Linked DNA regions of Lepisosteus oculatus. The protein of the gene in region 2 purifies or fractionates together with the protein of the main gene of each other region. This does not show direct contact. Links are inferred from orthologs where the notes say so. Each region holds a gene or a part of one and is shown on either strand. Other genes may lie near its edges.

Evidence for each region. Proteins that work in one complex are often made in the same cells at the same time.
Region 1: the proteins of araf (region 2) and bag2 purify together in Homo sapiens (affinity purification with mass spectrometry; 3 studies listed by BioGRID and IntAct, with this or other methods). This does not show direct contact. The link is inferred for Lepisosteus oculatus from reciprocal best matches to the Homo sapiens genes ARAF and BAG2.

The regions. Positions count from the first base shown.
Region 1 is NC_090712.1:19,975,329-19,982,723, forward strand, and holds the start of bag2 (BAG family molecular chaperone regulator 2), read left to right. Parts: upstream 1-4,306; 5' UTR 4,307-4,762; coding exon 4,763-4,887; intron 4,888-5,873; coding exon 5,874-5,983; intron 5,984-6,794; coding exon 6,795-7,189; 3' UTR 7,190-7,395. Other genes in the region: E3 SUMO-protein ligase ZNF451, read left to right, coding at 2,711-2,751. UniProt on the Homo sapiens protein: Co-chaperone for HSP70 and HSC70 chaperone proteins. Acts as a nucleotide-exchange factor (NEF) promoting the release of ADP from the HSP70 and HSC70 proteins thereby triggering client/substrate protein release.
Region 2 is NC_090697.1:77,646,376-77,654,301, forward strand, and holds the start of araf (serine/threonine-protein kinase A-Raf), read left to right. Parts: upstream 1-4,831; 5' UTR 4,832-4,910; intron 4,911-4,922; exon of another isoform or gene 4,923-5,086; intron 5,087-5,121; exon of another isoform or gene 5,122-7,321; intron 7,322-7,335; exon of another isoform or gene 7,336-7,926. Other genes in the region: tubulin alpha chain, testis-specific, read right to left, coding at 563-565. UniProt on the Homo sapiens protein: Involved in the transduction of mitogenic signals from the cell membrane to the nucleus. May also regulate the TOR signaling cascade. Phosphorylates PFKFB2.

The sequences.
Region 1 (7,395 bases), on a different chromosome or scaffold from region 2:
ATATGCAGACAAAAGTAGGGGTTTCTAAGTGATAATTTTAGTCTTTGATTCTTCTACATTTTCTGTGATCATAACTAATGTTTTAGTCTGACCCTTACCTGTTAGTGTTTGTTAGTCATAGACCAATGATTGGACATTCCTGGACAAAGAAATAGCTTTAGTTGTTTTTGTAAATTGTAATAGAATTTGTTTCCTATTTTATATGTGGTGATTTAGCCAGCACTACAGTTAGAGGGGTGTTGAGCGGCATGGCTCTCATCGACATCACGGCAAGCTCACCAGTGCCAGCAGGTCCCAGAAGCAGCTTTCACACTGACAGCCCAAGCAATCCCAGCAGCCCTCACAAATGGTGTCCTGCTGCTTGGGCTATCTGGGTCACAGCGTGCTCAAATCACAGGGCGGAGGACATCTGCACCACTGGCCTGAACAGCTGCTCTGCTTAGACACCGTGACTGCTGTGGCCGCTCCAGATCCCAACAAGAAGATTTCTCTAGGCTAGGTCATTCTTAGATCAATTATTAACAAAGACAAGAATTGATTTAACATCAAAACAAGGAGTTGTTTAATAGTTTTTAAGACTTCAGAATGAAAATGTGAGAGTCTTCTAAGAGTAGAGATAAATTTGCAAGTCAATTTCCTAAATTGATCAATAGCTCCAGGGCTGTGACTTTTCTGGAACAGAGTTGGCCAACCCTGATACAAACTAAAAATGCAGACAGCATTTGTTTTTGCTATACAGTTTACCCGTTTTATTGTTGTTAATTATATACTTAAATAAGTACAAACTAGCATTATGAGTCCGTAAATGCTTGTATTGAAAGTGGGTTCCAGTGATGATGTGCTGTTTTTAACTGAGTGTTCCCACAGCAAACCTCTAGTACAGAACTGAGAAATAGACACCAGAAACAATGTCCTCTTGCATGTGGTTGACTGAAACAACAGGGTTCTGTGTGTGTGCTGAGGAGAATGATCTGCCATTGTCACCTTTGCACCGAAGAGGCAGATTAATATGAGATATTCTTATTTGGGGGGTTTACCCAATTTAATTTGATTTTCCACCTGTTTCTTTGTCCCCCAGCTGTGCATTTGGATCAGACTTGAAAGCCATCCTTACACTGAATGTATAGATACTTGGAATGCAGAGCAGGGCTAAAATTAGCTCTTGTCTGTATCATCTCTGCCATCCAGCAGGCTTTGTAAAGTTAGGGATCCCTGTGACAGTTAAAGGGACAGCAGGCTGCTCTTGCAGGGCGCAGAGCTGTTGGGGTGTCCGCTGTGTAAGTGTGTTCGAGGTAGTGAGTGCTGGAGGGCTGGGTGTGATACAGGGTACTAGGGAGAGAGTAGGGGCTGTCTGGACAGCAGGCTCTCGGTGCCCTGAAGAGACTTGGGGTGGGAGAGACGGAGTTCTGAGCGCTGCAGGCTCTGTGTGCGAGACCCAGCCTGGTTGAAGAGCAAGCGAGCTGTAGGCCCCAAGCTCGTGTGTCACCAGGGTCACTGTGAACGAGGGGCTCGGTGACGTCAGGCCGTGGTTGTGGTGGAGTCTGTCGGCCAGTGTGAGCAGCGCTCTCGGAGGACAGTGCGTGTATACGTGTGGAAGAGGTTCCCCAGCAAGCTCAAAGAGGCGTGTCTGGAGCATGGGACACACCAGTCCAAGCTCAAGTGGTGGCCCCTACCCCTGCGGTGTCACACCATGAAGATCTAACTGCATTTTAGGTGTAAAACATACAAGACTAGAACCACTAGGGGGGTTAACACACACTTTTTAACAAACCTGAAAGAGACACCAGGACCAGAATCAGACACCTGCCTGAGACCATTACAAACCTGACACTCAGCTGACTTTAAAAAATAATTTTCATCATCATGTCGGTAATGCTTTTTTTGTTTACAGTGAGTAATAGATTTTAGGCTTTTGCTTTTTTTTCCACCTGTTTGTTGATATGAGTTTATTTGAGTTAAGGGATTTTCCTGTCTTCAGTTTTGAGGTTAAAATGGTTGTTTTCCCCTGTACTCTGTGTAATGGTCACAAAAGCAAGAACATTGAGACCAAACGATTTCTTTCTATTAAAGCATTGTTTTTGTATTTTGTTCTAAAATAAATAAGTAAAACACAATGTATAAATGTTAATTGTTTTATGTTTGTTTTATTCTATATTCATTCTATTATTTTAAAAAAACATAAATTACACCTGGATTTGGACATGATTTTTGCTTGAAAATCGGAATCTCTGATTAGAATCCATCAGAACAGGGTGAAGCCAAGCTGCAGTGTGTCAGCATACTAGCATTTCTGTATTTGTGGCAGAATATGGTAGTAAGGTGGTTCCTGATCTGTTCTGACTGGTGGATTTACATTCTCAGTGCAGACACTGTTGTAGCAAGCAGATTGCTGCAGCCCACCCAGCTGTAGAAAGCGTGGAGTCTCATCCAGGGAGACTCTTGAACTCAGCCAAAACGAGCTTCAGTACTTAGGAATGTAAAATGAAAGATCAGTTTCAATAGATATTGCAAGCTTTGTTTTCCCAAGTTGTACAGTATAGTAGTGACCATATTAGCCACTTGACATCTGACTTTGATTTGAAAAAAAGAAATGCACATTCAGTTTACTTGCTCTGTTTCAGTTGTTGCTCACAGGTTTGCCGAGTCCATTATGATTTTCAAGTGTATTATGCTCTATTGCTAAATTCATTTTTATCCCTTATCTCTGCAGAGCTCGAAGAAGCTATCACTAGAAGCCTTCAGGAGTTCTGATCCAAAGATGACTTTTAAGTGATCTTTTTTTTTCCCCCATGAACCTGAATAATGTTTAAACTGGTAATACTGGTTCCTGTTTAAAAAAAAAAAGCAAAGCAATGTGTGTTTATTATTATTTGATGACTCTTAAGTTGGAATGTTAATAATTAAAGTCAGCATTATTCAATAAAAATACAAATCTATTATTAAGGTTAAGCATGTTTTATTATTGAGCAAATATTTTATTTTTTCCAGGTATAAAGCGTATAAATGTGTAAATTTAGATGAAGATCGATTTCCTGAAGATGGTTTTCCCGCTATTTTTAGTTTTTCTTAGTTAAGAAGAATCAATTTGATTTTTAAAAATAAAAGCACATAGAGCCCGCCTCATGTCTGTGCAGTGGTGGTGGTAAAGACTGCACACTTCCTCGAAGTGCACAGTGGGAAGACGCTCCGCTCTCCTCACACTTGGAGTCTGAAAATGCCTACAGGAGGGCTGGTATCATGCCTGACAGCTCCCTGCCAGCCCGCTGTTCCACTGTGGGCAGAGGATGCCTTAGCTGCCTGCACACTCACCCAGTTTAGCCCTGAACCAGTTGTGTGCCACTGTCTGGGGAAACTGGCTCACAATCGTCAGACATCGCTTGGACTGCAACCCGCAGTGTCTGAACTGACAGACTCCACCTGTGCTGGTGCACCTGTACGGTTTGGGCCTCTCAGGAGTGGGAGCAGTGATTAAATACAAATACTCTTCCTCTGGGTGTAGGACTTTTAACAGCACAGGACATTTTTCAAAAGGTAGCCTTTAACTCTGTTTGCTTAATACATTAATTTTTAATACTTTACACACCTGCAGGCAAAAAAAACCCCAAATCTTTTCTGTAAAATGAATAATGACAGATCGTATTCAGAAGATGACGGGGGAATAAAATCTTATCCTTGTCATTCTTCATTGAGGTTGTATTGGCGCTATAACATGAACAGGCTGTTTTTAATTCATATATTTAGGTCTGTGAGCAGTATGTCCTGTTTTTTTTTATATAATGCAGGTTGGGAATGTGTGGAAGCAAGCATGCTAATTCCAGATAAAGTACTGCGGGTTCATTAATAGCCTGTGTGCACTTTGTGCATAAAGGAACCAAGTGCAAGTTAAACAGGTTCAGAGACGTGTTCTGCTTCTGCCGTCATCTCTATATGCGTACATATATTAGTAGAGTGCAGTGCCCGATGAAATCTGAAAGAAACGAAGGTGAAGCTGGAAGAAATATAAAAAATCTAGTTTTTCTCCCTACTGTATGTTGGCATGCTGTAGTGTGATTTAACGGCACAGAATGAGGTACGACAAAGCGCAGAAAATGTGAACATTAAAGCCATTACATGAGTGATGTATTACATTAAAGTGTAACATGAGGAAATTGGTTATGTTAAAATCACCATGTAATTGTCATGAAAAATATAACGGGTTTCTCCTGTCTATTTAGCCTGTGGTCTGACGGGGGCGCTATAGTATCATACTGGGCTAGCCTGTGAGCACCGATACCGCAGGAGGTTAATGTCAGTGTCGTTCCGCTTTAATATGTATGCCTGTTTTTCAAAGGCGGCCGTTCCATAAATGGTCAAAATAGGATATTTCCAATTCATAGAGAGTCATGGTCGTTCGTCTGCGCTTGATTGAAATGATCCACGACAAGACACACGGGCAACTTGGCTACAATGTACCGAGGCTACAAAGGGCGCAGTCTGTGATACCCCGTGGAAAACTGGGGCTGTGCAGGGTTGAGACCGGCTGAGATGTCGGGGTCAGTGGATTGTGCTGGAGCCCCCCGCCCTGCGCCGAGCGCTCGGCCTGCTCCCCGGGAGAGGGCGGCGGGGAAGGTCCGGCCCATGTTTGGAAATGTTGACATACGGGCGCCGCCTGCGAGCGGCGAGCTGCAAGCGAAACTGCTAGAAGGTGCCCCTAGAGGGAAGATCGGAGAGCAGTGGGTTAAGGAGCTGCGACTCTCCCGGGGAATCGGCATTTCCAGGCACCATGGCTCAAGCTAAGATCCTCGCCAAAATGAATGAAAGTGAGAGGAACAGCAAGTTCAGCAGATCCTTGTCCATGGCGGATCGATCGGGACAACTGCTTGAGAGCCTGGATCAGCTAGAGCTCAGGTAATGTTTGGGGTGGGAGAGGTTTTAGAAAACTTTAAACATTTTTAAAAGTTTTAAATGAAAAGAACAGCGGCCGAAGTTCGCTCGTCTTGACTGGATTGTATTTCAGTTTTTTTTAGAGCCGCTTTCTTGTGTTCGTGGGCTCTGGCACCTTGTTTCCAAGACCGCATTCTTGTCCTGTCGCTTAGTCTCGTCTTCAGAGATACATTGTATCTGAAAACAACGGCACACTTTGTTGTTTTGAAGCTCGTTTGCAAATATTTCAATTTTTGTATTGTATGAAAAACAGGTGGACAAGGGGGGGTCGACTCCCACGTGCCGTCTTGGGAAATTAAAAATAGCCCCTTTTGGGGATTCTCGGGGCTGCTGCGCTTCAGCGCAATCCACTTCACACTTTCATACGAAAACCTGCTGTTCGTCAACACTGCCTTGTGATTTTACTGCTCGGAACATTTAACTTATTGGCTGTTTAAATCCTAGACCTGTCCGTTTCTTCCAAACAGCTGCAGTTCAACACGTACCGTACAGTAGGTTCACATTCCTCACATGAGTGTCATTTTACAAGGAGATTACAGAACCGCAGGATGTATTTCTTTGGAAATGTAGTTCACGTGTTTTCTGATTTTTGTCCAGAACATTTTGAGGCAGAGATAATTGTCCTGGATCTAGCTGTACACTACGTATAAATATTTTTACACCACTTGGCAGTTGATATATTTGTACATAATGATCCTACTTTACTTAAATTTGAAACAAATTCTTAACTGCAACAAGAATATAACCATCTGGTTTCCTCAGGCATATCCAATATTCACAACCTAAGTTTGTTCTGTAATATAATAGCATTGTTTAAATAGGCCGATCTCAAATGGAAAAAATGCAAACCCATTGGTGTAGTTTTTCAGCATTAAATGTAAAATGTGTTACTAAGGCCAGTCGATTCTTTCATGAAGTAAAACAGACTAAACATTGTTGTCTTCTGTCAGAGTGGAAGCTTTACGAGAGGCAGCGACTGCGATGGAGCAGGAGAAGGAAAGTTTGCTGGAAATGATTCAGTCTGTGAAGAACAGCCAGGAGATGCGAACCATCAGTGATGGTGAGTGAGAGGAGTGTCACACTGTAGGTCACGGACAGCTGTCACACAGGTGAAGACTGACAAGGTCTGTGAAAACCGTGGATCTTATTTCCTGCGCCCTTTCCATGTGCAGCATACATAGTCTGGAGCAGGGTTTCTTTAACCTCGTTTGGCTACAAGACATCCTGCTCAAGCAGTCTCTCAGATGCCCCAATTTAGATATAACATCAAGCCGAAGTCTGTGATTAGTTTTCAAAGAAATCTACTATTTGTTAAAATATTGCAGGCAGATCTACATGTCAACAGATCCACTGTGCTATCAGAGCAGATCCACTTTTTTAAGAACATCGATTTTTCATGTACTGTAGATACATATATATATTCTCTTTGATTGTGGGGTCCTCTTAGACCCTAGTTAAACCCATCCATTGCAGTCTGGTAAAATCCGATGATCAAAAATGTTCATTTGAACCGACAGCAGTGCAATAGGGTGCGAGATAAAGGAACTGTCTTTGTAGCTTCCAGATTTAATAATTCCCCTGTTTAAATAGGAACAAAGAATATCACACACTGAATAGACAGTTTCCTGCTGAAAAAAGTAAAGAAAAGTCATTTTTAGTGATATTTGTAACAAGATACAATCAACAATTATTTCTTATGATGTTTGTTGTTCCGTTTTCAACAGAGGAATGAATAAATCAGGAGGGCACAGTTTTAGTGAATTCAGCCTAGAATCAGTCAATCAGTGAAGCTGTCCATTGTGTACCTCGGATCTTGTTTGTGCTGCACACACCGTGTCTTCATTCTAGAGACCCCTTTTTCCCATTTTCAGGGGAACGGGAGGAGCTGACGTTGACCGCAGACCGCCTGCTTGGTCGAACCCTGACTGTCGAGGTTTCCGTGGAAACCATCCGTAACCCCCAGCAGCAGGAAGCTCTGAGGAAGGCGACGTCTGAGATTGATGAGATCGCCTCCAAAGTTCTGGATGACTTGGACGGTGCCAGAAAGCGCCTGATGTCTCTGCATGCAGCCTGTATCACTGAGGCACCCCTGGGTCCTGTGGATCAGAAGTTCCAGACCATAGTCATCAGCTGTGCCTTGGAGGACCAGAAGAAAATCAAGAGAAGGCTGGAGACTCTGATCCGAAATGTGGACAACACAGGAAAAACCATAAGGATTATGGATCAGCAGAAAGTCGACCTTCCAAAAACCTCAAATGGCAACTAAACCTGCCTGTGCTATTGTTACTGTAGAGCTAACATAACGACTATTATACACTCACTAATCTATAAGAGTTTAACATAACACTCTCCTGAAGAATTAAGATTTCATAGCATGATGGCATCATATACATTCCACTGAGCATAAGAAAGATGGAAAACGAGAAGGCCATTAGGTTTGTCTGAAAGGAGTCATTCAAAGAAATCCCAGTT
Region 2 (7,926 bases):
GCCTTGAGAGCCGGAACTTCGGGAGCTGCAATCTTGCACGTGTGGGGGCTGAAGTCTCCCGCCAAGACGAGTGACGCGCGTCCCGCACGCGGCCCACACGGCACGCAGGCCTGGGATTACAGACCGCGGCACGTTTACTATACACCGCCTCGCTAAGATGACCCGACGGTGGAGCAGGGAGGTTTTTTAGGAGTATTTGCGAGCGGTTTCGCGCAGTTTTCCAGACTCTCCCGGCAGCAGCGGGGGTGGCGGCGGTTAGTTTTCAAACTGCACAGGCGGACATTCCGCCGCGCGCCCCCTACTGTTGCCATGGAGATTAGATGCACCCCCCCACACACACACACAGAACCAGCACTTCAGCTCATACCAACCCAGCTGGGCCGCTTGGTACCGCTCGGCCCGTTTCAACTGGAGCCACCAGCCCGCCACCCTTGTGTCGCCTGCCAGCAACCGTATTTTGTTTTTAGGGAAAAAGACCACAAACGAGAAGACACGAAAGAGTGTACAGCATTGCGAGACTGGTAACTGTACTTTAAACCGATAATGTATCATAATGTCTTACCATAATTTGCTTTCCAAAAGTCGAACACAGTCACAAAAATAACTCCCACCTTCTCGCCTCCTACCGCCGGAGAACTTAACGGTCGCCTAATGACGAGCGAGCGCGAATTCTTGTTTTAAACGGTCCTCGTCTCGTAAGACCCGCCTACCACCTCGCGTCATCGGATAGGGCAGCGTTCTTTTTTATTTTCATTGCGCACGCAGGCCGTCTATCAAACGGTTCGTGAAAGTGATTGGATAAAGAAAGTGATTTAAATATAAGGTCGCGGCTTAGCGGGAATGCGCGCATTTCCCATAATGCAGCACTGGCATTTTTAGAGCGGGCAGTACGTCATCGACCGGTATTTTTTCAACTACATAAAGGCGCGAAAAATCGGTTAACTTTAAAATGTTTAATTTAAAAGCAAAATACATTTCAAGCATGGAAAATGTACCGCACAATCACGGTACAAAAACAAATATAAAGTACACGGTGTTACGTTTTCTTTTAAATGTAAAAAAATGCCAAGATATTTAATATTCGATAAAATATGAATAACTTTAACATATTGTTTATATAGTTTTTACTGATTTCCAATTATGTGTTTTGGTCCTGACCTCAGAATTAAAGTGTTATGTCTTTTTCGAGAGGGAGACTGTGGGGAATCTGAATTAGTGCTCGTTTGCCGTTTTTTAAAGCTGTTATTTAACGACGTCTTTCGTTGATCAAGATGGAGTGCAGAAAACCTTGACGATAGAAAGGGCGTTCATAGAAAGCATGAGGTTAACCATTTATCCCGTTAAAGTCCCACGTTAAGGACCGAGGGGCGACACCGGGACGGACTGAGACCCCGCCGACAGGCCGGGCTAGCCGGGTCCGAAGGCAATACGAGACCGTAAATATAAACAAAATGACAAACGTTTGCAGAATTAGGCACTGACGTATTTTATTTGTACATGTGCAAAAGCAGACATTTCGTAAGCAGCCTGTTGTGAGAAGATACTCGTTATCGCTTAATTATGCGCGCTGGCTCTCCCTCGAAACTGTTTTTCACACATCTGATGTTAGCACTGAATTTTAATTAAAAGCATAAACTTTCACATAAGCCGTCAAATTAATGAACACTTCCTCGGGTATAGCCAGCGTCTAGAAATTAAACCAAATAAAATGCCCCATTGCTTTCTAACTCTGTATTGTACTCTTGTCGATCAGATGGATTATGCCATGCAGGCTCTATGCACAGAGCCCAGTGTCACTCAGATCCCAGTCCTGGAGTCTTCTGTTTAATCAGGCTAATTGATCCTTTAATTGGGGTTCTTGCTTGATTAGACCTTTTCAATCTGTTTTTGCACTCGTGTTTCAGAGAATCTGTTGTGAGTTGCAGGGCTGCATGAGGCTCAGTGGTCAGCATTGCAGCCTCTCAGCGCTGGGGCCCTGGGCTCTATTCCAGACCTGGGCTGCTGTCGCTGTGGAGTCTGCATGTTCTCCTCGAGTTTGTGTGGGTATACTGTGGGGGCTCCACATTCCGAGAACACACTGGTAGATGAATTGGCTTCTGGATTGCCCCTGGTGTGAGTGTGTGTCCCCAGGCTTGTGTCCGTTGTTTGCTGGGGTCGGCTCCGGCTCTCCACGGCCCTGAACTCAATGACACGGCAGCCGACACGTTGTGTTGCCTGTCTTCTCTTTCCAGCAGGAATAAACCTTTGGCTTGTTCTTCTGCAGCCTCTGCATGCTGACGCAGCTCCCTGCTTGAGCTTACTGAATAAGAGTTCGGATGGAGAAAAAGACAGAAGAGAGGGGTTGAGAAGCACTCTTGTGACCCTCTGTTTTCCAATTGCCTTCTTTTAATAATAATAATAATAATAATAATAATAATAATAATAATAATAATAATAATTGCTTACACTTATATAGTGCTATTCTGGACACCCCACTCAAAGTGCTTTACAGGTAATGGGGATCCCCTCCACCACCACCAATGTGCAGCCCCACCTGGATGATGCGACAGCAGCCATAGTGCGCCAGAACGCTCACCACACACAAGCTCTCAGTGGGGAGGAGAGCAGAGTGATGAAGCCAATTCATAAATGGGGATTATAAGGAAGCCATGATTAGTAAAGGGGGAAATTTGCCCAGGACGCCGGGGTTACACCCCTACTCTTTTCAAGAAACGCCCTGGGATTTTTTTTGTGATAATGCTCAGTGCAGAGTGGCCACAGATGGTTATTCCCAATGCTTCCTCTCTAAGATTTCAGGGTGCTGTGTGGAACCAGCTGCCCAGTTATGTCGCTGAAGCCAAAACCCTTGTTTCTTTCCAGAGAAGGCTGGATGAGATCCTGGGATCAATCACTACTCACTACCTAACAGGCCAGTTGGGCTGAATGGCTCCTCTCCTTTTTAACTTTCCAGCTTTCTGCTGAGAGGGGCTCAGATCGGCTTTTCAGCCCTTAACATGAGCAGGCAGTGATGAGCTTTGGGAAGAGTTAATAGTGCTTCTCTGCAGGGCTGGTGATTAACAGCACCACTGCGGTGCCAGGCAGTTGGAGTGTGTCTCAGCCTTTAAGAACACATTTAGGAACTTCGTGCTCTGAGCACAGATGGCTGTGTGGGAACAGCACTGCGAGAGATCCCAGCCCAGGAGTGTCCGCTGGGAATGATGAATAATGAAAAATGTGCCACATACCCATGAAAATAAAGCACTCGAGCACTGCGCTGCACACAGACTGGTACAGATGGGTTCCGTTGCAGGTACGGCCGTATGAAAACAGAGTGCGTCAGAGCAGACATAATCCCTGAGATCTGAGATCAGTTTTTACAGCAAACTAAACGATTGCTTTATACAGAAGTGTGTTGGTGCCAATGCAGTAAAAATAAAATAGATCATCTGAGTGAGACTTTATCGCATTTGTATCATTTGCAGAAACTGGGAGGTGGGGGTCTGCCTTCACCAGTGTTTTTTTGTGATTTAACCCTTTATTTAGCCAGGTAAGTGAACAGGGAACAGACTCTGATTTACCCGCTGACGCAGCGTGCCCTGCCTGAGACGTGAACTGGCAGCCCCCTCACCCTCTGCCGTGGACAGTGCTGTCGTGAGCGTGACCTCAGGCTCTCGGACCTTCGCAGGGTCCAGGGAGCACAGGGAGAGGAGTGGAGGCCTGTGAGAAACGACTTTAGTCTGGTTCAGACCCTTCCCATCCTCTGACACCCCCTCTGCTCCATCTCTCGCCGCTGATTTCTCGCTTTAAAGACCTTTCCAACTTCATTTCACAATTCAATATTGATTTACATCACATTTAAAACATTCTTAATAATAATTAGTAATAATTCTTCACACTTATAAAGTGCTTAGCGCCGTGGCTGGAAGGTTGCTGGTTCATTTCCCACGGCCGGCAGAGGAACCCTACTCCTCTGGGCCCCTGAGCGAGGCCCTTAACTCCAGCTGCTCCAGGGGCGCTGTATAAATGGCTGACCCTGCGCTCTGACCCCCAGCTTCTCTCCCCATCTGTGTGCCTGTGTGTCTCATGGAGAGCAAGCCGGGATATGCGATAAAGACAAAATCCTAAAGCAAGAAACGGTATATGGCTAATAAAGTGATCTTATCTAATCTTCCCTGGACACTCCACTCAAAGCGCTTTACAGGTAATGGGGATCCCCTCCACCACCGCCAGTGTGCAGCCCCACCTGGATGATGCTCCAGTACTCTGCCCACACACCAGCTCTCAGTGGCAAAGAGAGCAGAGTGATGAAGCCAGTTCAGAGATGGGGATGTTGTTGTCGCTATTATTATTATTATTATTACTATTAATATTATCAACTTGAACAAGACACTGGCTCTAGAGTGTCACGCAGTCTGTAACTGCTTAATTGCGGCTGTGCCTGGGAGGCTGGTTTCGAAGCTCACGTCCTCTTCTTCCCCGGCAGCAGCCAGGCTTGAAGCCGTCGCCCCCTGCGTGGGGCCGGTGTCTCTGCAGGTGGCTGGGGGGAGGGGTAGGCCTGTCTGGCGGCTAAGGGGTTAAAGGGGGTGCGCGCCGGGACTGGGGCTCCGACCCGCTGCAGCTATCCCTTCTCCTCCCGACCCCAGGAGTGCCCCCTATCCCTCAGCCACGCACGGGCTGCGCCTGCTCCAGCGCTTCTCCCGCTCGGCCCGGAGTCCAGTCCCACTTCTCTAGTGCAACACACACAAGTGTCGCAATTCCAGGGCCCGCCCCCCGGACGGGTGATCTCCGGAACAGACGGGCCCGGCCGCCCAATCACAGCGCCCTCCCGGGGGAGCCAGCCAATGAGCGGGCGGCACGGGGGGCGGACCCCCGCTGAAGCAGATTCTTGCTCTGTTCTTTAAGTCTGAGAGAATTCAAGATGGCCGCCCCAGGTAGGTGTTTATTTCAGGAATCATAATACTGTGCTGAAGGTGAATCCGAGGCGAGCAGGGCTGCGATTGTCTGTCCGCCCCTTTCGCGTTCGTTTGTTCGCACACCGGAGGACTGTGGAGGCCACTGTTAGGCCCCTGGGGTTAGAAATGCTACTTTTGACCACCGGAGTGAACAAGTAAGCCCCGTTCGCTTTAATTAAACTCGACCTGCTCTGAAAGTACAGAAACCGGGTGTAGGTGACGCCTCGCTGGCGGGGGGAGCCGGGGACGTGTTTCGGGGGGGGGATGGGGTTTGCGCGCCGCTGGTGGAACATCCCCGTGAGTCGGAGAGCTGGCCGTGCCCCCGCCGGGCGGGGAAGCCGTCACCCGTGGAAAGTTCACGGCGTGTTTTCCGCGCTCAGACACACCTGTGCGTTTCCATCGGGGGGCCGCCGCGCAGCTCTTCCGCCTCTGGCACGTGTGTGGGCTTGTCGGACCCGCGGGGACGCGGCGCGTCCGCAGGTGTGTCGCCCGTGCGAGTGGGGTCCCGTCCTGCCCGGGGTGACCCCCGCACCTGCCGGGCCCCCGGAACACGTCCCACGGCTCCCCGAGCGAGTACCCCGCCCGCCTGGGCTCGCCGGCCGGCTGTCTTCTCACTGCCCGCCGAGCGGGGCAGCTGGACCGGAGCCGGCGTGCGGCTGACGGAGATCCGGGTACCGTCAGCAGCGCGTCACGGGTGCCCGAGTCAGCCCTGTGCGGGCTCTGACCCCGTCCCTCACCCCTCACCCCTCACCCAGCCGGGGGCCAGCTCAGGGCGTCCCGGCGAGGCTGTGGGGACACCTCCGCTGGGTCCTGTGGGGGTCCGGTGACCCCGTGAGCAGGCCGGCTGGACCGGCGAGCAGGCGGGCAGTGTTTTTGAGCCGAGGCTCTCGCTGGGGAGGAAGACGAAGGGTCAGGTGGCTCGCTGCAGCAGAGCCCGCCGGCTGTAGGGCTGGGGAGGAGGCCGTGGGCAGAGCCAGGACCCGCTGGAGGGCCGGGGTCCTCTTGAGCACCTGCTCTGAGTGTGGGAGCTGGCTGGGCGCTCCGGGCGCTGCTGTTCCCTGTCCTTGGGGGTAATCGATTGCTGCCATTCAGTTATCAAGGTAGGCAAAATGCCCCGTGGGGTAGGTGCCAGGGACGGAGGAGGTGGTGCCCAGGCAGCTCGAACCCTCAGCTGCTGGGTCTGCTGCTGGTCCCGGCGTGCGGCCTGCTGGGTTTCTTGCTCCGGGGCGCGCTGTCCCGGCCTGCGGCACGAGTCCGCAGGGCACGGCTTCGCTCGAACATGAGCGTGCAGACAGCCGTCTTATCATCTGACCTCAGGCTGGCAGAAAGCACAGCGATGAAGCAACAGAGTCCTGGAGAGGAAGTTAGCCAGGTCGATCGGCTTGACAGCCACTTCCTGCTGGGGTCGGAGGTCGGGACCAGAGAGGGTCTCGGGCCAGGGGCTGTGAGTGTCGCACGGCTCGCATCGCGTCGGAGGCCTTGCCTCTGTGGCAAGAGGGGTGTCCCCTCTCGCACCGTGGGGTGGCACCTCGCCGAGCAGGCCCCACTGGCGTGGGGGCGCGTCTCGCAGAGAGCTGTCGTTGTCCGTGGGGTGGTGCCAGCAAAGCCACTGTAGCTGCCAGGGGTGAGCGCGTGAGAGGGGGGCTGGGGGGCAGAGGGGGCACACGGAGCTCGGGTCTCTCTCGGAGCCCTCTGGCAGCAGGGCGAGGAGGCTGTGGCGCTGCGGCTCGGGATCGGTGCAGAAACCTCCAGCCTGCAGCAGCAGCTGCACAGTCAGGGTTGTGGTCCCTCAGTGCTTCCTTCCTCCACTGGCCTCTAGTTTCCTCCTCGCTCATGATTCGCAAACTCGTCTCATGAGTGAGAAGCGACGCCGCTCGCGGTCTGGCCGGGCTGTTCCCGCGGCTCCGCCGCTGCGCACCGGGGTCGCGTGAGTTCTGCCTTTCTGACTTGGGCTGCACGCTTGCCCTCCCCTCGCGGTGGGATTTGTGGGGCTGAGAGATCAATCCAAGTTTCGGCGGCGCAGCTCTCCTGTCTGAGCTGCGTGACGCCAGGACGATCTTGGCGCTGAAATGTGGTGACAAGTCGGCCGTCATGGTGCAAAGCTGAGCTGATACAGACCAGAGCTGGGACCTGTCCTCCGGGTGTCCAGCCCCCGTCTGTGGAAGCAGTATATTCTGCAGCTCCGTATGGATAAGAGGAAAAGTAATAAGATCCCTGCAGGCAGCCTTACAGGTGCTGATGTCTGTGCTCAGGCTGAGGCAGACCTGGCTTTCTTCCCACAGGTTCCTGGTGTTCATTCCTCCGGCGGGTCCGGACTGGGGATCCGAGCTGTGAGGCTCGTCACGGGGAGCGCGGTCTTGACCCGCTCTGCACGTTCGGACCCTGGGCAGGTTAGAGTGGAGGGGGGATAGCTCAGGCTGCAAGGCTAGCTCATTTGTGAGTAACTGGCCGAAACGGCCCAGTGTGAGGACTGGCGAGCGAAGCGCTAATTTCAGTGTGCTGCATGGCCAGGCGCATGAGGAAATGTCTCGGGTTCAGTCGGGCCTGTACGCGATGTTCTGTTAAAAGCAGCGAGGCAGCCAGCTTTCTGATAATGGTGTTTGTGATTTGTTCAGTGGAATGAAGGATAGTTGAGATTCGGTGTCGTGGCGGAAGGATGATGCTGTGTTTTGGTGGTGCGTGTGCCAGATGGCAAGAGTGTCCCGTCTCCTCCGCTCTGTGTGGAGTTCTCTCCACCAGGAGGGTGTCAGTTCAGCAGGCGATGGGCGTTCATCAGACGCTCCTTGAGCAGCCCTGAGGAGACCCTGGTGGCAGATGAGCTGCTCTGTGGGTAAAGCTAATTGGACATGACGAGCAGCTGGGCTCCGAAATGACAGTGAAGAAAAAGCGGAGCGGTGATGAAGGTTTGTGCTGCGCAGTTCCTGCTGATCGGGCATCAGGAGAGGCGGCTGCTGGCGTGTCGTCTGTCTCCTGAATCACTGCTGGGCGCTGCCAG